Xenopus tropicalis: one gene and its partners. The protein of the gene in region 1 purifies or fractionates together with the protein of each later gene. This does not show direct contact. Links are inferred from orthologs where the notes say so. Each region holds a gene or a part of one and is shown in the gene's direction. Other genes may lie near its edges.

What was found.
Region 2: the proteins of eps15 (region 1) and gja1 purify together in Homo sapiens (affinity purification with western blotting; 3 studies listed by BioGRID). This does not show direct contact. The link is inferred for Xenopus tropicalis from reciprocal best matches to the Homo sapiens genes EPS15 and GJA1.
Region 3: the proteins of eps15 (region 1) and ap2b1 purify together in Homo sapiens (affinity purification with mass spectrometry; 3 studies listed by BioGRID and IntAct, with this or other methods). This does not show direct contact. The link is inferred for Xenopus tropicalis from reciprocal best matches to the Homo sapiens genes EPS15 and AP2B1.
Region 4: the proteins of eps15 (region 1) and fcho2 purify together in Homo sapiens (affinity purification with mass spectrometry; 3 studies listed by BioGRID and IntAct, with this or other methods). This does not show direct contact. The link is inferred for Xenopus tropicalis from reciprocal best matches to the Homo sapiens genes EPS15 and FCHO2.

What each region holds. Positions count from the first base shown.
Region 1 is NC_030680.2:96,319,046-96,325,403, reverse strand, and holds the start of eps15 (epidermal growth factor receptor substrate 15), read left to right. Parts: upstream 1-2,752; 5' UTR 2,753-2,858; coding exon 2,859-2,885; intron 2,886-6,358. UniProt on the Homo sapiens protein: Involved in cell growth regulation. May be involved in the regulation of mitogenic signals and control of cell proliferation. Involved in the internalization of ligand-inducible receptors of the receptor tyrosine kinase (RTK) type, in particular EGFR.
Region 2 is NC_030681.2:72,393,491-72,398,551, reverse strand, and holds gja1 (gap junction alpha-1 protein), read left to right. Parts: upstream 1-2,318; coding exon 2,319-3,458; downstream 3,459-5,061. UniProt on the Homo sapiens protein: Gap junction protein that acts as a regulator of bladder capacity. A gap junction consists of a cluster of closely packed pairs of transmembrane channels, the connexons, through which materials of low MW diffuse from one cell to a neighboring cell.
Region 3 is NC_030678.2:93,556,741-93,562,467, forward strand, and holds part of ap2b1 (AP-2 complex subunit beta), read left to right. Parts: intron 1-523; coding exon 524-670; intron 671-1,570; coding exon 1,571-1,716; intron 1,717-3,080; coding exon 3,081-3,210; intron 3,211-5,256; coding exon 5,257-5,341; intron 5,342-5,727. UniProt on the Homo sapiens protein: Component of the adaptor protein complex 2 (AP-2). Adaptor protein complexes function in protein transport via transport vesicles in different membrane traffic pathways.
Region 4 is NC_030677.2:183,066,288-183,072,014, forward strand, and holds part of fcho2 (F-BAR domain only protein 2), read left to right. Parts: intron 1-899; coding exon 900-1,099; intron 1,100-2,218; coding exon 2,219-2,283; intron 2,284-2,704; coding exon 2,705-2,869; intron 2,870-4,844; coding exon 4,845-4,867; 3' UTR 4,868-5,727. UniProt on the Homo sapiens protein: Functions in an early step of clathrin-mediated endocytosis. Has both a membrane binding/bending activity and the ability to recruit proteins essential to the formation of functional clathrin-coated pits.

The sequences.
Region 1 (6,358 bases):
CCAAACCGTATTTTACAAGTGACTGGGAAGTCACATACATGCACTTTATATCTATAGGTGGCTGTCTGCCAGTTCTGATAAATTATTTTAAATACATAGACACAGTATCAAATTTGGTCTTTTGGCGCCAATGGGGGCTTTATTGTATTGATTTAATTGTTTTCATGTATTTGTATACATATATATATATTATTAAAGGAATTCTACATTAGTAGCTTCATGTCTTGATTTGGAAGTACAATCACTTTCGAAAATAGTAGCTACCACCTTATACTGTATAACATGTCTCTGCTACTCCTCCAAGTTGTTGTTAATCTGCATTTTACTTTATATGCACTTACTACATAGAATTTATATTTCTAGTGTTGTCTTTGTTCCTCAGGATATGTAGAAGATAAGATGAGGTAAAGTTCAAGCTATGAGAGATTGTCTAAAATTTCATAAATACTGCTAAATTTAGCAGTTTAAAGACAAAAATATATATACACGTTAATTTAATTTAACTATACCTTCCTATATATATATATATATATACACAGCTTGGGTCTAATGCTGCCCTAGACACTGCACTTCTGACACCTCCCCCCTTAGGGCAATAGCAATTGGGAAATTTAGTAATTCACAGTTAAATCTCAGCTAAAGCAGGTAACAAATCTCCCCAAAAAGTCTTCCCAACAAGTGAATCGCAGGTGGGAAAGCATATGCTGCATTTCATTTTCTCAGGTCGCCAAATGATTCCTATGCAGGAAACTTTGGAAAACTAAGAACTACATACACCTTTCCACCCATGATTTAGTTTATTACTGGTGGGAAGGCATTTTGGGGAGATTAGTCGCCCATGGTAGTCAAAATTTAACTGTGGACGACTAATCTCCCCCTTTGCCATTGCCTTTAACAACAAGTGCCCAGTGGAAAGCTGTTTTTTAAAAAATAATATTGGTGCCCAAGATCCAGCGGCGTAACAAGCCCTCAGAGGGGTCCAGCACACAGTTTTTCAGTGCTTTATCCCACCCCCCATCCCTCTTTGTCCATATTCCCCTTCTGCAGCTGGGGAGGGTGATTTTTTAAACGTTTTTTAAATTTACCTCCAAACTATAGAGGAGAAGGTCTGCTAGTGCCAGAATCTGTTCCCTAAAGATGCTGCCCTAGTCCTGGGCCCTCAGGTGCCTTAATAGAAACTACAACCATGCCCACATTATCATAGATTATCATATATAAATAGGATTTAAAAGTGCAGCGATCACTTGGCATTTATATTTTAATGCTGTGCCAACCAATATGTTAGGGAACAGATGCTTTAAAGTGGTTGTTAGCCTTTGAGTTAACTTTTAGTATTATGTAAAGAGTAATAATCTGAGACAATTTGCAATTGGTCTTATTTGTGGTTTTGTAATTATTTTACTTTTTTGCTCAGCAACTCTCCAGTTTGGAATTTCAGAAGTTATCTGGTTGCTAGGGTCCAAATTACTTTAACAACCAGGAATTGGTTTGAATGAGAAACTGATATATTTATAGAAGAAGACCTAAACATAATATAAAGCAACAATAACAATAAAAGCCTTGCAGAGCAATTGTTGTTTGGCTTGAAGTTGGAAAGAGTCAAAAGAAGGCAAATAATTTCAAAACTATAAAAAAAAAAATAATTAGGACCAATGGAAAAGTTGCTTAGAATTGCATTCTATGAAATTAAAAGTTAACAGGGTTTTGGGAGATAGCTGTCAGTACAAGTTGATCCAGGGACTGGTCCGGAAGGAACTTTTTCCCCCTCTGCAGCAAATTAGAGAGGCTTCAGATGGGGTTTTTTGCCTTCCCCTGGATCACCTAGCAGTTAGGCAAGTTATCAGGGGCGGGCCGAGCCGACCGGGCGCCCTAGGCAACCCGGTTGGCTACGTCGCCCCTGCACCGCTACTTTGCAAACCCTCCCCGTGTGTTTTGACACGCATGCGCAGTTTGTGCGCGGGGGGCGCGGTGTGCGATTTGAAATGGCACGATGCAACCTAGGGGTAGGCAGGCGAGGCTGCTGCCTGGCACCCCCCAATCGTTGCGCCCTAGGCAGCTGCCTCTTCTGCCTACCCCTAGTTCCAGCCCTGCAAGTTATACATAGGCATTATGGTTGAATCTGATAGACGTACGTCTTTTTTCAACCTAAGTAACAATGTTCCTATTTACCTTGTGAATGTGTCAACATTTCTATTGTCCTAAACATGGTTTTTGGTTATTTCGGCCACATATTGTGGTGTGCAATGTCAGATCTGCCATTGCCCAGGTCTCTGAGGCTTTACAGTGAGGGTAAGTATCCCAGGTTTTTCTACGTCCCAAACAGGTACCTCGCAATATAACTGCCACCACACCTTGCAAGGAAAAGTATAGAAACACACCAATACTTTTTCTAAATAAAGTATATTATATTCTATAAGCGCCCCCTAACAGCCCGGCTGGAAAAAAACACATTTTGACATTTCCTTACAGTTCCCAACTTCCCAGCCGTCCCGTGACCCCATTCTCCTTACACTTCCAGCGCTCCACCTCCCACTGGTTCATCCCATTAGCACTCAGGCTCTCCCATATTTACTTGCAGCAGCTCCTTCCACTAGCTCTCACACAGTCCCCTCCTCATAGTGGCTCCACCCATTAGCTCTTACACAGTCCCCTCCTCATGGTGGCCCCACCCACTAGCTCTCACACAGTCCCCTCCTCATAGTGGCCCCACCCACTAGCCCTCACACAGTCCCCTCCTCATAGTGGCCCCACCCACTAGCTCTCACACAGTCCCCTCCTCATAGTGGCCCCACCCACTATCTCACACACTCTCCCTCCCCTCTTTCTGTGCATGATGGGCGGATCGGGTCGGAAGCAGCATGGCGGCCTCACTGCCCCGGACACAGGTAACACTTTACTCAGGGCAAAGTTGCGTTGTTCTGTGGGCAACAGTGTACCGGGGCCCACTGGGAGTGTACCGGGAGCAGTGTTTGCTGTACCCGACCAGTTCTTGTTGCGGTGACACACTCGGAGAAGGAGTTTGAAACTATCATAGCCATTCGAGTTCAGTATGACAGAGTATGTGGGCGACACTAACTTGTATGGATTTCACAATTATTGCTGAACTGCAGCTTTTACACTCTCAACACAAGCTTCAGAAAGTAGTGTATAATGAGGAAGTTGGTACGACACTTTAGCAAGTCGCTGGGTCGTATGCTATGGTTTTCGGTATACTCGGTTGGTGTGTCTGTTGTGTTGCTTTGGAAACAGAGAAAGTTGCTTTTTCATGGTATAAATGTTGCGGATACCCATGAAGATGGACGTGAGCTGCGCAATATTTAGTTTCAGTCTTTGCAGTCAGTGGGAGAAGTAGCAGATGACTGTCAGGCAGTGGGGAATCATCAGACTGATCCAGTGGGCGAACTTGTTGAGTGATACATGGGGATTCACAATTTGTCGCTTGCTACATATATGTAAGTTTTATACCCGTTTCATGACATGCAGCCCACCAGTTTACCAGTTAAACCTCTTATTGCACAATTCAGCAACATAACATGGGCGTGTATGGGAATATTTGTAAAACTACATGGAAATCAAAACCTTTTGTAAATGGGACATAATTTCTCTTTAAAGGTCTCTGACATTTCAAATAATTCACTGGGCTTCCTGGATAAAATGCATGTGAATGTCGCAGTACTTGTGGTTCTGCTTTGTGTCTATAAAGATATGACTGTGCACATTTTGGCAACAATTTTTGAGAGGAATATAGGGTGGTTGGGGTGAAGAAAAAGAATGTTAAACTTTACATGCAGGCTTAAAGCTGCTGAACTGCATACCTCCCAACATGTGAATAATCAAAAAAGGAACATAAGGACCTGCAGCAGGGAAACTTTTGTCCACAGGCACTTTGTGGCTACGCCCTCAAAATACTACGCCTATTTAACAAAACATCGCTTTTTACATGGTTGGAATGGCAGTATTGCAAGTAAAGAAGCAATAGGTGTACTAGTGTTTTATGCAGGGACATTGCAGCCCTACATCATCATTCCAGCTGGGTGCAGTCGTTTAAGCCCTTTATACAATGTGAATAATGATTTCGCAGTCTTGTTTTTCAAGACTTGAAATTTGATTTGTGAGGGACTGCACTGGACCAAAAAATGACAACTGTCCCGCAAAAAGGTATCTATCTAATAGGTAACTATTGGGATTATATTATCAAATAGTGCTCATTTATAAACACTTGGCAAATTTGCCCCAAGCAACCAGTCAGTGAGACTCCTTTATCAACACTGGGCAAATTTGACCATGGGCAGTAACCCATAGCAACCATTCAGTGATTGGCTTTATTTAGCCAGCTGCAGGTAGAACAATGGTTGCTCATGGGCAAATGTGTCTACTGTCTATATTTTTTTCAGCTAGCTGCAGGTAGAACAATGAAAGCAAGCATGTGATTGGTTGACACGCATGGGGTTACTCCCCATATGCAATTTTCCCGGTTTTTAGAAATGCCCCCACTAACTTTGTCCTGTTGCAATAACAACAATAGCAACAAATTAGCAGGTAGCATTTACTGGTCACCTTTTTACATCTTATTGCTTGCTATGGATTACAGGTATGGGATCCATTATGCAGAAATGGATCCCAGATCCATTTCTCAGATTTTTAAAATTGATTTCCTTTTTCTTTGTAATAATAAAACAGTACTAAAAATTACATTACACGGGAGCACTTACCGCAAGCCCAAGTGTGCTGTCACGCAGACCCACTCCCAAAGGTCCAAAAGCCAAGCAAAAATAGAAAGATAATAAATAGCGGAGCACCACGAGGATAAGATTAAAATCCAGTCTTTATTCCATCATAGATAAAAGGCACATGCACATCCCTCAGGGTCTAACGCTTTAAGCGTTAGACCCTGAGGGATGTGCATGTGCCTTTTATCTATGATGGAATAAAGACTGGATTTTAATCTTATCCCCCTGGTGCTCCGCTATTTATTATCTTAATAATAAAACAGTACCTTGTATTTGATCCCAACTAAGATTTAATCAATCATTATTGGATGCAAAACAATTCTATTGGGTTTATTAATGTTTTACTGATTTTTTTAGTAGACTTAAGGTATGGAGATCCAAAATACAGAAAGACCCCATTTCTGGAATACCCTTGGTCCCGGGCATTCTGGATAATGGGTCCTATACCTGTACTGGAAAAACTTAGTTGCTCTCATTACAATGGGGGTTTAAATCTTAGAATGTAATTATACACCAAGGCTGTTATAAAGATTACAACTAAATGACAAGTAAACCCCTAAACCGGGGGTGGCCAATGTGTCAATCGTGGTCCACCAGTAGATCCCCTGTGGATTTCTGGTTACAAGTGCTGCGCAAATGCGTACGTACACTGAGTCACGTACGTATGCATTCATGTCGCATTCTGCAGGACAGCGGTCCTCAACCTGTGGGTCGTGACCCCTTTGGGTGTCGAACGACCCTTTCACAGGGGTCGCCTAAGACCATCGGAAAGCACATATTTCTAATGGTCTTAGGAATAATTTTATGGTTGGGGGTCACCACAACATGAGGAACTGTATTAAAGGGTTGTGGCATTAGGAAGGTTGATAACCACTGCCCTAGGAGCAAGTTGACCTTAGGAAACCATATGTTATTAAAATGTGCCCAAAATGCACCTACACATTTTTATGGCTGACATTTTTACTTCTGCATACACAACACACTGCCAGAGATGTATTTGTAGTAAGAAGCCCATTAACAGTAAATTGGGCCAAAAATCAATATAGCTTTTCAAAGTACACATTCTGAAAAGAAATGCTATCTGTCTCTCTACTCTACATCCAAACTTAAAGCTTTGTTTACGTTAACGTTAATATATATATATATATATATATATATATATATATAATAAATATTATAGACTGTCATATAAAGCAGGGCACACTCACAGGACTTAAAGGTATGTTGAAAATTTTTTTGTTATTCCAACGTTACGGTCTTCCTTGAGACCTTAGTCAAGGAAATCCTCCAAAGCTTATACCCTGGAAAATGGCTCCAAAAAGTGCATATGTAACATAAACTTATCCCTTACTAGCTCTTAAATGCATTGGCAAAATATTCTACATGTGACATTTGACTTTTGAAACAAACCCTGCCTTCAGTTCATCTAGCCGTAAGGTAACCCCATGTAAAGCAAGGATTGTGAAACTGTACATATTTTGCTAAATTACAGCACCTCCTACTACTAGTTCTTGCGAACAATGATGACATGCTCTAACAATAAATATATCTGATATCTCCTTTGTATAACGTTACTACAAACTTTACTACAAACTGATAAGGTATCAAAAGATATGTGTCTTTAGTGA
Region 2 (5,061 bases), on another chromosome or scaffold:
TGATCCCTGAGAAAGCACACAGCCCATTACTTAACATAATATAAACTATCTGTTGGTTAAGTATTCATTCTGGGGTATAGTTTTCCTCTAACTCTTGCAAGTGCACAAATGAGCAAGCACGTTCTTAGCAATTCCTTTAACTGATGTTAATAATGTATTAAAACACTTTTTGGATAATTTGAAAAACTTTCCAAAGAAGAGATTTGCATAATATAATAACAATATTGTTGTTACATAAAAGTCAATCATAAATTAAACTAATAAGTTTATGATTGCACTACATAAGAGTAGCAGGCCTAGGGCAGTGTCGGACTGGGGTGCCAAGGGCCCACCAGAAAACCTTAGACCTTAGGCCCACTCTCCCCTTCTCTGTATATTCACTTTCTTTAATCTCTTAATTACTTCTTTTTACATACTATTATCTATCCTTTCCCCCATTTCTTTAGTTTCTTCTCATATAGAATTGAGTAATGGCCATGGTATAGGGATACAAGGCAAATGGTAGGGTGAGCAGGAGGGCCCACTGACACCTGGGCCCACCGGGAGTTTTCCTGGTATCCTGGGGGGCCAGTCCGACACTGGCCTAGGGTAAACACTTGGTTATACACTGAAGGTTGTACACTTAAATAACGTATACAACCTTCAGAAACTCTTCCATTGATTCCCAAAGCTTTCCAACACTGGTATCCAAACTGAATGGCAGAAGCCAAAGTATTATGCAATAAATAAGAGCCCTGCTTAATAGCACTACCTAATTAACATTGTTGTTTTCTAAAACAGGGAGTTTATTGTGAGATTTTACTTTGCCTATATTATACTATACTATCAAATGTCAGTAGGTTGAAGGTTAGAAAAGAGGGTGCAGCATTGCATATAGTAGGGCACTGCCTCCAGAGAAGGCAACATTTTTAACAGCATTGCTTATGTTGCTGAACTGCATGCTTTAACCTTTAATAATTTGTTAAAGTATACTGGGGTTATAGTCTACCAAAATTTAAGTTAAGTTTGGGTGAGCAACACTGTTTGCATCTCATTTTAAAGGTGAACAAAACATTGTTGCTCAACTATACTTTAGTCAGTGGTTGCTGAACTGAACCCAGCATACTTTACCATATTGTTAAGGGTTAAAGCATGCTGGGAGATGTAGCTGAGCAAAATTAGGGTTGTGACCTGTGTATTATAAGCTTCCTTGTTTCTATTTGAAATTGAAAAGCTTAAACACAGTTTTCAGTAAATAAATATATCTTCCGACATTACGTTTGCATACAGTGTAACATAGGAAAGCCAAAATGTAAGATAACAACAAGATGGTTGATCTTTAAGATTTTGGCCTTAAGGCTTTATATCATCGTTAAGTGCCAGAACCACACAAAATAAAGTCTTGTAAAATATAAATGATCTTCTTTCTTTGCAGTACCTCAACACCTTTCTTTTTATGCTTTTACTTCCTTCTTTGTATGTCCATTTTTATACCATGTTCATCTCTGCCACTCCTCTTTGCAACTCTTCTTTTTCAATTTATTTTTTCTTTTCATAACTTTTAATGCTATGTATATATTTCTCTCTTACATTCTTTCATTACTCGAACAAAAAAATAAATAACAATCTCTATATTTTGCATTTTTCATGCATTCTTCATATCTATGAGTTCCTTCTGTGGTAAAAGTATTATGATATAAAAAATAGGAATTATAACTTTATGGTACTCTGTACAAGTATATTAGAGGAGATTATAGGCAGATAGGGAATGTTCTTTTTTTCCCACAAAAACAACCAGCACACCAGAGGCCACCCCTTTAGAGGAACGGAGCTTCCATTTAAAGCAGGGTAGGTGGTTTGTTCAAGTGAGGTAGTGGAATGCCCTTCCTAGTGATGTTGTAATGGCAGATTCTGTTAATGCCTTTAAGAGGGGCCTGGATGAGTTCTTGAATAAGCATAGTATCCAAGGCTATTGTGATACTAAATTGGTGTTGGTATATATGGTTTATGTATGTGAGTATATAGATAGGTAAGTATAGGTTTATGTGTGCTGGGGTTTACTTGGAAGGGTTGAACTTGATAAACTCTTGATGGTGTTTTTTCAACCCAATGTAACTATATATATGGTCATTTTTCACAAAACACCATAACTTTTACTCAATTACTTGCTTAGAGTGTAATGAACATTGCCTAAATATTGCCTAAAAATATTAAGAACATTCAATCATTCAGTAGCTTGCAATGTAAGAAGTTGTTCCACAGTTACTCTCTAATGATATTACTTTTATTTATAATACTGATGTGTACTTTTTTGGGATTTTAGGTAACCACTTTTGAGCATGGGTGACTGGAGTGCCTTAGGAAGACTTCTTGACAAAGTTCAAGCCTATTCGACTGCAGGAGGGAAGGTGTGGCTGTCTGTCCTATTTATATTTCGAATCCTTTTATTAGGGACAGCAGTGGAGTCAGCCTGGGGAGATGAACAATCAGCATTTGTCTGCAATACTCAACAACCAGGTTGTGAAAATGTTTGCTATGATAAGTCATTCCCGATCTCTCATGTGCGTTTCTGGGTACTTCAAATCATATTTGTCTCAACGCCTACCCTCCTTTATTTAGCCCATGTGTTTTACTTGATGAGAAAAGAAGAGAAGCTAAACAGGAAAGAAGAAGAACTTAAAATGGTTCAGAATGAAGGTGGTAATGTAGACATGCACCTTAAACAAATTGAAATAAAGAAATTCAAATATGGCCTTGAAGAGCATGGAAAAGTTAAGATGCGAGGTGGACTTCTTCGCACTTACATCATCAGCATTTTGTTTAAATCAGTCTTTGAAGTTGGCTTTATTTTCATTCAATGGTACATGTATGGGTTTAGCTTAAGTGCCATCTACACATGCAAAAGAGATCCTTGCCCACATCAAGTGGACTGTTTCCTTTCTCGACCCACAGAGAAGACCATTTTTATCTGGTTCATGTTAATAGTTTCTATAGTTTCTCTTGCCCTAAATATCATCGAGCTGTTCTATGTCACCTACAAAAGTATCAAAGATGGCATCAAGGGGAAAAAAGACCCATATTCTGCCACAAATGATTCTGTGGTTCCAGGAAAGGAATGTGGCTCCCCTAAATATGCTTATTTTAATGGCTGTTCTTCTCCAACTGCTCCCATGTCTCCACCTGGTTACAAACTTGTTACTGGAGAAAGAAATCCTTCTTCTTGTCGCAATTATAACAAGCAAGCAAGTGAACAAAACTGGGCCAATTACAGTGCAGAACAAAACAGGATGGGGCAGGCTGGAAGCACAATTTCTAACACTCATGCACAGCCTTTTGATTTTTCGGATGAACATCAGAATACTAAGAAAATGGCACCAGGACATGAGATGCAGCCCCTGACTATATTGGACCAAAGACCATCTAGTAGAGCAAGCAGTCATGCAAGTAGCAGACCTCGACCTGATGATTTAGAGATCTAATCAATCTTGATGTATTACCAGAAGGCACATTTTAAGAGTGGAGGTGGTACTAAATTCTCTCAAATGAGATTTAACAAACTTTTTTGATGAACTTTTATATGGCGAGGGAAAATCGCTTTGATATTTAAGTAGCTCATACAAATTTTACAGTCTTAAATGACTCATACAATATTTTTTTAGAATGTATGTCTAAGACAACATATGTGTTTTCAATTCACCCAAAAAGTGAAATATTTGATGTGAGCAATGTTGTTTTACGACTAGTGTCAGCCTTCTATGAGATGAGAGATTTCTTACAATGATTTTATAAATAACTTAAACAATAGCTTGACTGTTAGGAACTTTTTAGAATGAATTCTGGAGAAAGACACCTGGATGTTTTCTCAAGATGACTAGCATTTTTCCTTGCCCCTTCTCTTTTTCTGGTTAAGAAAATTATGCTTATGTAATTGAATTGCTTGATCATATGCCTTCTTAAAAGCAGCACTATTATTCCGCAACAAGCCTAGTCAATCCTTTCTGAATGGCCCAGACATTCAATAGGGGATGTCAAATCCCAGATACTACAGTGATTAACTAAGATGACAATTAATTATAAAAATGAAAAACTACTTAATTCCATAAGGATCATGTTTTAAAAGAACCAAATGTAACTATAGGGTCATCTTTCCCACCAGATCCTTATAACATTCCAACAACAGCATTATTTGTGTGGGACTATTAGAAATTATTGCGAAATCTCCTATATTATATTAATATTTTCCCTATGTCTATTTGTGGAATAATATCATAGTAAAGGCTCCTTAAATGTGAAACCCATTTTAATTCTGAAGTAGGACCTTAGTGGTAAACTATTCGGCAACCCAACTGGTAGAAGCACCTTTTGAACTGCTTACATTTTTTTTGCTGGTGCAATATTGAATAATATTTTATGATGCTGTATGTATATGTGTGTGTTAAGGGTTGGGGTTGCTTGAAGTTTGGTTCTCAAGCATGGCAGTCAATATGGGTCTGACAAATTAATCATCATTTTGAGCTGAAGTATGCAGTGAATCAGAAGAAGATGTTAGTCAAAGGCATATGTCTCATGAAATGCCTTTATAGTATAGCCATGTTCTAGTGGTGTCCTCAATCATGAAGCATGATAAAGCCTACAAACCACGTTTCTGTGGCTAATTTCTGGTAAGATACATTTGTAACGTGTAGTTCAAGGAACTGAGGTAAATATTTCTGGAATAACATGCAGGGAATTAACATGTCATTTTGCCAGCCAGTTCCCTATTATATATATATTTTTTTTATCGTTGTAACAATTTAAGAGCCCAGAATATAGTATGCATTTTAATCTACAGGAAATATGTTTCAAGATGTTTCTGAAATAACAGTGATGTGAAAAAAGTAATAATGCATTTGTTAAAGAAGTTGTGTTAAAAGATATAGAAGAGGTACGTTGTATATCAGTGAATCGGTGAATGCTTCTTTAGAATTTGTTTACAAATTTACAAATTCCTTCTGTGCAGTTTCCAGCACATTTAAAAAATGTTTTTCTTTATACAAAATATTTCCCCCCTGTGTCCCATTTTCGATGCAATAACTCAGCTTA
Region 3 (5,727 bases), on another chromosome or scaffold:
TAACCGTGGCCAGAAGTACAGACAAGTAAGCACTAAACTAGAATACTGCACAGAAAATGTATTAAAATTGCAAGGACTAACGTTGCCCTTAAATTATAGGAAGGCCATATAACTCAGCAGGTTACAGCATGTGTCAGTATACCTTACTACTGTCCATGACCACCTCAACTCTCCCTTGTAAGAGCTTTCCAGTGGAGAACAATGGTTTACTTAAAGTGCTGCCTAGAAAGCATTGCTATTCATATAAACGAGTTGCTAAAAGGAAGGTATCTGTTCTGCAGGTAAAAAGATGAGGCATTAAACTGTACAGAGCTATTTGCAATTCTTTGAACTGAAAAAAATATAAACTCCCTGAGGTTCATTTAGTTATATTATAACGTAGTTGGAGCAGAGTTAAAGTAAACTTTAACTCAAAAAATGTTCATTCTTTGTATTTGTAAGTAACCGCACAGCGCATGAGAAAGCTGTAATCTACACCCAATTGGCAGTTATAAGGTTGTTTTGCTATTTTGTTGTATCCCAGGTTGGGCAAACCTTCATTCCCTCCTCCGTTCCAGCAACATTTGCTCCGTCCCCTACACCAGCGGTGGTTAGCAGTGGACTGAATGATTTGTTTGAACTGTCTTCTGGTATTGGGATGGCGCCTGGAGGATATGTATCACAAAAAGCTGTATGTTGGTTCTATACATTTATTTCTGTAGACTGTTACTGAGCAGTATTGTTATTGGCTGTATAGCAAATAAACATGCAATCTAACTAGATGAAGCTGCCCAGTTGTATTCCCTCTCTGCCTCAGTACATTTCTCATTCCAGAAACCTGTTTTCCAATGCCTACCAATCTTTCCCAGTCCCCAGCTGATCACACTCCTATTTACTTTTGTTCCTCCTTATACTTTGCTACAGTCTTAGCTGTCAGACCAGAATAGTTAAGGCTAATGCCAAAAGGGCCTGATTCTCAACCTGTGGAAAAACACAGGCCTAGAATCAGCCCCTACACTGGCATCAATTTTTCCCTGTGCCTCCACCGGGAAGCCGACATTATGTTTATCCACAGGCCAAGAATTGGCCCTGTGTGGCATTAGCCTTAGATATAAACATAAAGTGGCGGTGGTGGTAAAACCAGTAAAATTCTGCATTTGGTTTATAATCTGCTTTGAAAAAAGTTTTTTTATAAATAAGCCCACACTTTCATAGAATATAACAAGAAAATTCTTTATGACAAAATTATTTTGGTACTGTCATTATGCTTTCTGTAAAACACTGGGAATCTTCAGATGTACTGAAGCACATAAAAGCAGGTTGTATTGTATATTTGCAAATTCACAGGCCTACACTTATTTCAAAGCAGTCTGAGCTAATTTAAAGTGCATTTAACTACCTTCTGAGTGCAGATCTATGTTGTATGGCTGTGTATTTTTGGAAGAAATAAATTCTAATTATATTTATTGAATTGCAGTTAATGCATTTACAGCTATTGGTACACACTGCTGGTAAATGTATGAGGGTTTATGAACTTGTGATGTAAATAATACCTCTTAAAACTCATGGTTCCCTGGAATTTTTCTCCCAGGTCTGGTTACCTGCTGTAAAAGCCAAAGGCTTGGAGATCTCTGGTACATTCTCCCACAGGCAAGCACACATCTACATGGATATGAGTTTCACCAACAAAGCTTTGCAGCACATGACTGACTTTGCAATACAGTTTAATAAGAACAGGTAAGACACTTAGAATTTTTTATTATCTGTTATGTATATAGGGCTACCATGTTTATGCAGTGCTTTACACGGATTGTTTGTCATTCATATCTGTCCCTGCCCCTGTGTATAAGCTTATAGCCTACGGTCCCTCATCACATTCACCCACAAAGATTAGCTTCTAGATCAGTCCACTGGGTTCTTCAGAATTGCAGTCATTTTTCATATTTTATTACTTTATCTTTCTGGGCTCTTTGTTTCCTTGTGTCCAATTCTATATGCCCCATGGCATATAAATAAAATATAATACAGATATAATGTTAATATTTAACAATATTGTTAGAAAAGGACAAACATATGAGAAATCCACCCAATGGTAACTGATCATTCTTACTAATGCTTCTTCCCATGAAATATTCACATTTAAATAACATTTAGCATAAATGAACTGTTCTGTAGATCTCTGATCTGTGAGCCAGTTTTGAAGTATTTATAAAACACTGATATTTAACACAAAATTGTACAGTTCTGAAGGGGCATTTCAGTACATGCAAACTAGGAACAAATATTGACTAATATAAAGGGTAAAGAAGACCCACAAAGATTGTGGGAAAGAGGACAGACAAACATTTGCATGTTCTGTTTAGTTGAGACTGGACCACTGCTTTTCTTGCCTACCTTAATAGGTGTTGTGATAGATTCATTTTCTTAATGTAATGTCAACTGAAGGTTGCTGTATGCGTGGACCCTGGACAGTTGGATTATGAAGCACACATTATGTCATCTAATTGGCTGATTTACATTCTCTGTGTAGTGCACTGCTTTTCACAGTCTAGCCACTTTTATCCCATGCTTTGGTACTTGTACTACATGGAAGCAGTTGGATTTTGGCTGTATAGCCACTGTAGGGCAGAGTGGTGAGAACCACTTGCTTTCCCTAGTGCTTTATTTACTGCAGGTTCTGAGCTGTTTTCTGTAGCATGCCGACTTCTCAGCACATTTTGGTACAGTAGTTGGCTTAAAGGAGAAGGATTTTACTGCCAATAGATTCACCATATTAGTGCCACCTAGAACACTATTTATTCTGCAGAAAGCATTACCATACCTGAGTAAAGAGCCTTATGGGATGAGGAATCAGGAGAGGGGCGAGAGAAGAGAACGGCGCTGACTCTAAAGTCAGATACCAGAAGAACATATTTACAAAAAAGGAGACAAGAAATACTGTGTTTCTTTTGATAGAGGACTATCTGTATTTACATAGACATTTCTGTTAAAGCTTAATTAGTTTTAACCTTTCCTTCTCCTCTAAGGAATGTTACCCTAATAATTATTTCATGGCATTTGGACTGTTCAGAAGTGTCTAATTTCTTTCTATTTTCCCTTAGCTTTGGTGTCATTCCCAGTGCCCCTCTGGCGATTCATACTCCCCTCATGCCCAACCAAAGTATTGACATTTCTCTTCCTCTAAACACCCTTGGGCCTGTTATGAAAATGGAGCCCCTTAACAATCTCCAGGTAATATATATCTCTTTTTTTACATTACAGTAGTGGTTGTGATCATGAAGTTAATTAGTAGGGGCTGAAGATCTTTATTACCATTCATAACATAAACAGTGTGTGCGTGCATGTATGCAAATGTTTGTGGATAGATGATATTTAACTTGGGATTTAAATAGCTTCTGTAGAATTAATAAAAGTTTTTCATGGAAACCCAGGACCAGGACGAATCATGATTTTTAAAACAATGGAGTTGCCACTTTAAATTGCCGCAACAAAAACCTTTAAGACCATGGATTTTATCACCTATGTAGTGGCATCCAACATTTTTGCATACCAGCCAACACTTTGCTCATAAGCTTGATTGTATTGAAGTTATGATGGGGGGACATGTCATAAAAATCATGTTTCGGTTGTCAGACAACCCTGACCTACATTACTGCCCAACAACAACCTTGGTAGAGCCAGATAGCAGTAGACACAACAATAAAGAACTGTAATATGTGTATAAAGCCGAGGCTGACATTAATTGAAGCAAATTTACTGAATATCCATTTAGAAATCTATGTATTCTCATAGATCCACTTGCTTACTCTATTGATTTTTACTGAGGCATCTACAGAAATCAAGTACCCATGACAGACCTGCAACTCTATTATTGCTTTTTATTTATATTATAGCTTTTACAGTTTGAGACAAAATTTGTATTCGTTGTTTTTTTGGGATTTGATTTTGCAGCCTAGATTGTATGCCTTTTTTTAAACCTACATTTTATGTATATCTTTCGAAATTCATAAGCTACTGGGGGGTCCTTTATAAACATTGGGCATATTTGCACCTAGGCATTAACCCATGACAACCAATCAGATGATTTTTTTCAGTGTTTAACCTGTAGCTGGCTATAAAAACATAATAACTGATAGGTTGCTATGGGTTACTGCTGAGGTGCAGATTTGCCTAGTGTCCATACATGTAGTGGTGCTCCTTCTGCTTATAGATGAAATGTATAACTCCAGTCAACTAATAAAGAGCACTTTATTGGTGCTGAGATCTTTATAAATAAGACCCACTGTCTGTCTAAGGTGAAATTAGAATAATCACACATCACTTATTCTGGCTAATTATGCTTTAAAAAGAAAGCAAAGATGCTACTGGTGTATAATCTAGGTCTGCAGCTACATACTGTTATTAGTAACTTAGACCTGAGGTGTTTAATTTACAGTTTATTAGATAAGGAGTGGGGGCACAACACTGTCTCCTTGACCTCTAACACTTCTGTAAAAGTATCCCCAAATAAAGAAGTATTATAGGGAAGATGTTTTTTTAAAGAAGATGACATTTATTTACATGGATATTGATTAATGCATGTTGAATGCATGTTACTTTTGGAGCACTGCTGTACTGTACATGGGTGTGGAATAAAACAGAACCATAGCACACTTTCATATAACTCAGTGGATAGGAGATGTGTCATTGAAGCTGCCACTTGATGTACTATAATTCAGTTAGATGTAGCTAGAAAATTGACTTGGCTAAGGCCATACTGAGGCAGTGTCCTGTCTCTTGGGTATTAGCTGGCTGTCAGGGTTTCTTTTATTTATGAGTACTCTGGGGAGCACATCAAAAGCTGCTTTCTAAGTATAGTTTGGATGGAGTTAGCAGTGTATTCAGAGTAAATGCTAAATCAAGCAAGCTTCAGGACATTTCTTATCTAAACACATATATGTACACGTGACCCCAGAAGGTTATGTAATGTTTATATTTATTAGCCAATAGTTGTATCATAGTGCAAACATATGATGCGTCAAAAAGAACCTACACACAATACATTTGGATTCTAGCACACACAAAAATACTCAACTGTAATTAAAAAGCCATCCACTTATTTATAAAACTGTAGACAGTTGTTGGTTTTGTGCATGTAGCTGAGAAGGTGAATTCTAAAAGACTGAAAGGCTGCTTTGAACGTGTTAATGGCTGTTGTGAAGCCTGTACATTAGGTTAGGGATTGCTGTGAACCTGCCATAATTCTTACGTTTCACACTACTCTTTTGTGTATTCTAGGTGGCTGTGAAAAATAACATCGACGTGTTCTACTTCAGTTGTCTTATCCCTCTACATGTGCTCTTTGTGGAGGATGGCAAAATGGGTAAGGAAAGATCTGATATGTAAGGTTTAAAGGGACTTCTTCTGTAGGGTGCACATCAGTTTGCAATATTGTAAATTTATCATCGTTTGTTTGGTATTGCATCAATTTCTATTATATTGTACAGCCTATTGTAATGGAGCGTGGTATATTCTGCTCAACTGTAATGATTGTGTTAGTGTCCTCACTAGCTGCTACCTTCTCTACCAAGGACTTGATTGGAGTTTAAAACTCAACAGAGGAGCTATAAAAAGGTATGGCAGCAGCGCTTAGAGATTATAGCCAAGATTTATTGGATTGTATCCTGTGCTGAAGGACATCTTAAAGTTCAACAGCTAGAAAAAGCTGTAAAATGTCCCTAGTAGTAATTTATCCTAATGGATTCCTAG
Region 4 (5,727 bases), on another chromosome or scaffold:
TTTGTGGAGAGGACAGAAAAGCTTTAGCTTTTAGCTTCCAGCTACAAGGGAAAGAATATCAGAGTATGTATTGTGAGCAGATGAGTTAGGGCTCTGGTACACGGGGAGATTAGTCGCCCGCGGCAAAACTCCCTGCTCGCGGGCGACTAATCTCCCCGAGTTGCCTTCCCTCTGCCATCCCACCGGCGAACATGTAAGTCGCCGGCGGGATGGCAGACGCGGCGGCGCAAATCGCCAAAAAAGACTCGCGAGTCTTTTTCGGCGATTTCCCAAAATCGCCTCGCCGCGTCTGCCATCCCGCCGGCGACTTACATGTTCGCCGGTGGGATGGCAGAGGGAAGGCAACTCGGGGAGATTAGTCGCCCGCGAGCAGGGAGTTTTGCCGCGGGCGACTAATCTCCCCGTGTACCAGAGCCCTAAAGGAACAGGTCACAAATATTGAATGGGGTGGAAGGAAAACCAAAGTGGCAATATAGAGAGTGATAAGTAGAAGGATAAAAGGAGAGGGCAGACAGTAGGCGTGGGTCCACTTTAACCATCTGAGAAATTCTGACCCTGCCGATTGACAGTTGCATTATTAAATATTGAAGAAATTTGCCTGAGAGCACAGGCAACACATCATGGAGATAGGCAATCTTTAAATGCTTTCTAGGCAGAGAGCTTTCTAAATTTCTTTCTGCTTTGACTGTGCAATGTCCTAGCAAAAGGTTTTGTGTAAAAGCATTACTTTCTAATGGAAAAAAAACATCTGTATGCTTACAGATCAATTAAAAACAAAGGTGCCATTTTACTGAATTGATGTTCTGTACTGCATGTTAATTAGGGTGACTTGCCTGACAGTGAGAGGGTTTCCTTGATTTTTTATCAAATGCTAATGTTTAACATATATCAACTCTTAGGTTTTATCAAATGGAATCCAGTCCACTCCTTTGAACCTTGCCACCTATTGGAAATGTACCTCGAGCACTACCGATGTCAGGTTAGACTACAAGTACAACCCAGAATCCATGGCTATGCCCAGCATCTTGTCTAATGTGCAGGTGTTGGTTCCGGTTGATGGCGGAGTAACAAGCATGCAGTCACTGCCTTCTGCCATATGGTGAGAGACACATTCATCTCTTCTAAAATCTTAGGTTCCCAGAATAAAGGGCTGGCCTTTGGCTACCTGAGGAAAGGTCCGAGGTTAATGCTTATTTACTGTCCTAAATATACATAGAGCTCTGTATAACCTTGTTATGAGAGAATGGGGGCCTGATCTAATTGTGATCCACAAAACAGGGCTTAAACTCCGCTGCCTGATTCTAAAAATGAAACTTCTGGTTGTTGATGGGATGCTGTGAGTTGTAGCTGCAGCTTTAGCAACATCTTGAGGGCCACAGGTTACTGTGACAACTCTATGTACATACATTTATTATATTGGACTGTGAAGCATGCAAAAATGCATTCTTCAGCATCTTCTATAGGAAAAGAACAGGGCCAGGACTAGGGGTAGGCAGACGTGCCTTAGGTGCAACACTGGTAGCCCTAGAGGCAGCCGACCGAAGGAGCAGTGGCCACAAGCGGCAGTTTTATAACAGTGCAGTGATGTCAGACCCCTCTCCCTCACCTTGTCACCCCTCCCCGATTGCTGAGCGCTGTTGAGGCGTCACCTTGGGTGCCCTTTGTACACTCTGCCTGGCCCTGGAAGAGAGATTCCCCATACATCTTTATAGGAAGTGCGGGCTATTGTGACCTGCTGTGCAAAGTGGGACCCACAGCTCTACAGGACCCTGATGGGCTGCTCCCACTGCTACAACCCATTTATATAAAAGGTTTTATAGGTCTTGACGCAAACATACAAGGTAGTACAGGTATAAGGGGAGTCTACTAAAAATCATTAAAACATTATTTAACCATAATAGGATTGTTCTACCTCCAATAAGGATGAATTATATATTTGTTGGGATCAAGTACAAGGCACTATGTTATTATTACAGAGAAAAAAGTATAAATATTTTTAAAAATTTAAATTATTTGATCAAAATGGAGGCTATGCCTGTAATTTGGAACTTTCTAAATAACAGATCCAATACCTGTACTATGTCTAATAAGCCCTTATATTGTGTGTTAGAACCCACTTATTCTTTAGATCGAGACATCAATGTTAAATACCATATTAATAAATTTGCTGTGTTCAGATGTTATGAAGGTTCATATGCTGCTCTTTGTTTTTATCTAGGAATGCAGAACAAATGAAGGCCTTATGGAAAGTCTCTGTAATTTCAGAAAAATCTGAAAATGGAGGCAAGTTCTGAAATATTTTTCTGGCTAAAATTAGCTTTAAAGCCTGTGCCTGATCATACAGAGTCTCCAGCAGGCAGTGTACTGGGAAACATGATTTATTAGAGTGCTCGGAAGATACACAAGCACCTTGATTGAACAACAGTACAGAAAATTACACAGCAAGGGGGTTGTTTAAACAGTTTTTGTTATATATTCAAGTGCCCCTTAGAGAAACACATAGAAAACAGAAGGGACCGTTTACAGTGGTTTAATTCAATGCCTGTGGATATAAAACATAGCTTGCTTATTCCTTTGTGAATATGTTCTGTATTTATCATTTTTGGTCATTGGCCATATACGCAGCATTCCAAGTAGCTATACTTTTAAGTAAATGCTTAAGCATTCGTGGATTTAATTCATTATTTGATTTTCTCTCTTATAGGAGCTGGATCTCTTAGGGCAAAATTTGACCTCTCTGATGGTCCTAGTAACCCGAGCACACTTGCAGTGCAGTTTGTTAGTGACGGATGCACGCTTTCTGGAGTTGATATCGAGCTGGTAGGGACGGGATATCGCCTGTCTTTAGTCAAAAAGAGGTTTGGCACAGGTAAGGGCACGTTCTTATGTTTTAAAAGGAAAATGTTTACAAAAAAAGAACGTTGATTTGTGCTGTGTACAGAGGAATGCCCAGGATAACATGCTACAGTGTGTGTTTATAGATAAGTGTCTGTACAGGGATGATAGGCAATTATATAAAACTTGCTATTTTGGCTAACTATGGTGCGCAGTGTTATGAGACCATGGTACTTATAATGTATGAGCCAGAGTATCAGGACACCTGCCTGTCCAACTTCTCATTCCCAAACCAAGGGTATTAATATTAAGTTAGTTTTCCCCTTTCTGCTATAACAGCCTCTACTATTCTGGAAAGGCTTTTGTCTAAATGTTGGTACAGTCCTGGGATTTGCCTCCATTTAGCCACAAAAGCTAGCTACTATTTTTTCCTAGCTGTTTATAGGCCCATTTTTACTCTAGATTGTTTCCAAGTTTTCCAAGCTGTGTTGAGAAAAGGGTTATGTTATGATTCCTCTGGTATGCTGTGGTGGGGCAAATGAAATGCCAGATGTTTGGGTGGTCATCCTATACCTGTTGGGAAAGTGATGGAGTGTGTGTGAAGTGTTCCTTGGATTTCCTTGTCTCAGCGGGCCCAGTTGGCGAGTTGCATTCTGTGGGAAATGTGGTAGAGAGAGCTTAGGTCCTGGAAGAAATAGGGAACATTTATGTAGTTCCGTGTAGTTTTGTTTAACACTCAAATGAAATAAGAACTTATTTTCAACTTTTCCTGGAACTGTTAGACTGAGACGAAGGCTAGAGTCCTATGTCTCCAGGTATTTTCAAGAATTTCAAGGGGACGAGGGGGTGGGGGAAAAGTCTTAGATAGGTGGTAGGGAGTTGATGAATGCTAGAGTTTTATAGTATCCAAGCTCTGGGGACAGGGGAGTAGGAGGTTAGTTAGGGAGTTGATGAATGCTAGAGTTTTATAGTATCCAAGCTCTGGGGGCAGGGGAGTAGGAGGTTAGGTGAGGGAGTTGACCTATCTGCAGAAAAGCTAATTGAAAAAGACTTTTGGGCTAGAGATGTGGAGAAACCTTTTAAAATGAGGTGATCATGGATGTCCACTGTTAGTTTCCTAGCTTTTCTGTAGGGTGAGAGTTGAGTTATCTTGAAAGTTGAGAAACTTTGCTAGGACAGGTGTATGTCATTGTTGTTCACTTGGTTGTAATTGCAGTGTGTTAGGGATCTTGTTAGATAATAGTTGAAGAAAATCTGGTACTTTGATTCTGGGATGCCAATAAAGCAATGATTGCTACAACGTCCCCTGTTTTCTAGATTGTCTATTTTCTCTGATTGGGTGGAGATTGTTCTATCATGTTCTGTACTGTGCTTTGGAGTTGGATAACTCTGTCTTCCATATTGCTGATCCAGGGGTGGGGTGGAGAAGCAGCAAGCTTGTCACTGTTTGCTGGACAGGTCAGACTCCTTAATTCCAGAAAGGGCTACTGCCAAGGAATCAAGTTTCTACTGTGTGGTCCCTGAATATAAAATGTGCTGGTGTTAGCTGTTGGCCAGAAGTGAATGGGCTGTGTGGGTCCTGGATAGGTGCGGCCTAGTAGTGTCTGTACAATGTTGATCTGTGGCTCAGTGGTTGAATTCCTCTTGTATTGCCCCGCCCTCCGGAAGTCCTCTGCTTAATTTATTTAATAACATATTCCACATCTGAAATTTAGTGTCTTAGTTACTCTCTAATAGTAGTAGTCTGTGCAGGCCATGGAACTTTGAGGTGACACTTCCCTCAAGTACCTCTACACACATTTCAGTGAGTCATGTGACCTCACTATGCACCAAAACTGATGACATCACTAAGCACTGTTTATAAGGATATCATTTACTGAAGTATCTATAGTTGAAAAGCACAGCAACATGAAAGTATGGCTCACTCTATAGTGGAATGCATTGGACTGCACTGTAGGAATGTTGTGTAAAAAGTAATTAAGCATTTTTTGTTTTGTTTTTCTTTCCAGGAAAATACATGGCAGAATGTTGATTTTATCCCATGTGAGATCACATATACGCAGAGCAGCCTTCCTGTTAACTTATCGAAAACTCTTCCATATTGCTGTTTTAATTATAGATATATATTTTTTAATTTTTGACTTATTTTAGAAGGTATTTCTATATTGCTGCCAACTTTGGAACATAAAAAAAAATGCACTTTTTTTAAGGAGTCATTTTGTTGGAATATCTACTACATGATGATGTAGCACTGAAATTTTCTTCAATCGTGGTTAAAAATTATGATTTTTTTTTTTTAATTATTTTATGGCAATATTTTGCATTTCTATTAAGACACAAGTTACATATACAGACCCATGCTACTGTATATAGAATGTATACCATGCGAGCACCTCTGTCAGTCCTTAGCCTTATATTTGTTTGCAAAACTTTCTGGTGCAACTGACAAGTGTCTTTTACATGATCTAAGTTAGTCATGGACAACCCATGCCCCCCAAATGTTGATGAACTACATCTCCCAGGATCCCACCAGCAGAAGACTCTGAGGGTTGTAGTGAAGCAACATCTAGAGGGCTGCAGACTGCTTATGCTTGATCTAATTGCTTAGTATATTAATGGGTTTAATATATGGGTCTTCTTGATTCAATATTAGTAGTCACAAGTGCAGCCCAAACCTGTTGCATTATTAAATGCAGCATCTGCAGCCATTGGGAAGCCTCTGCAGGATAAACCGCATGCAGTGCAGAAGGGATGTGCAGTAAATAGCCTACCATTATAACTAGAGCTAAGAGGGTGTTGGGTTTAATAACCCTGCAGAAAAGCTATACTTTGTTATTTTTGTGCGTCCCACTCAGTTGCCAAACAAATGTGTTTTTGTGCGTAGCACATTAA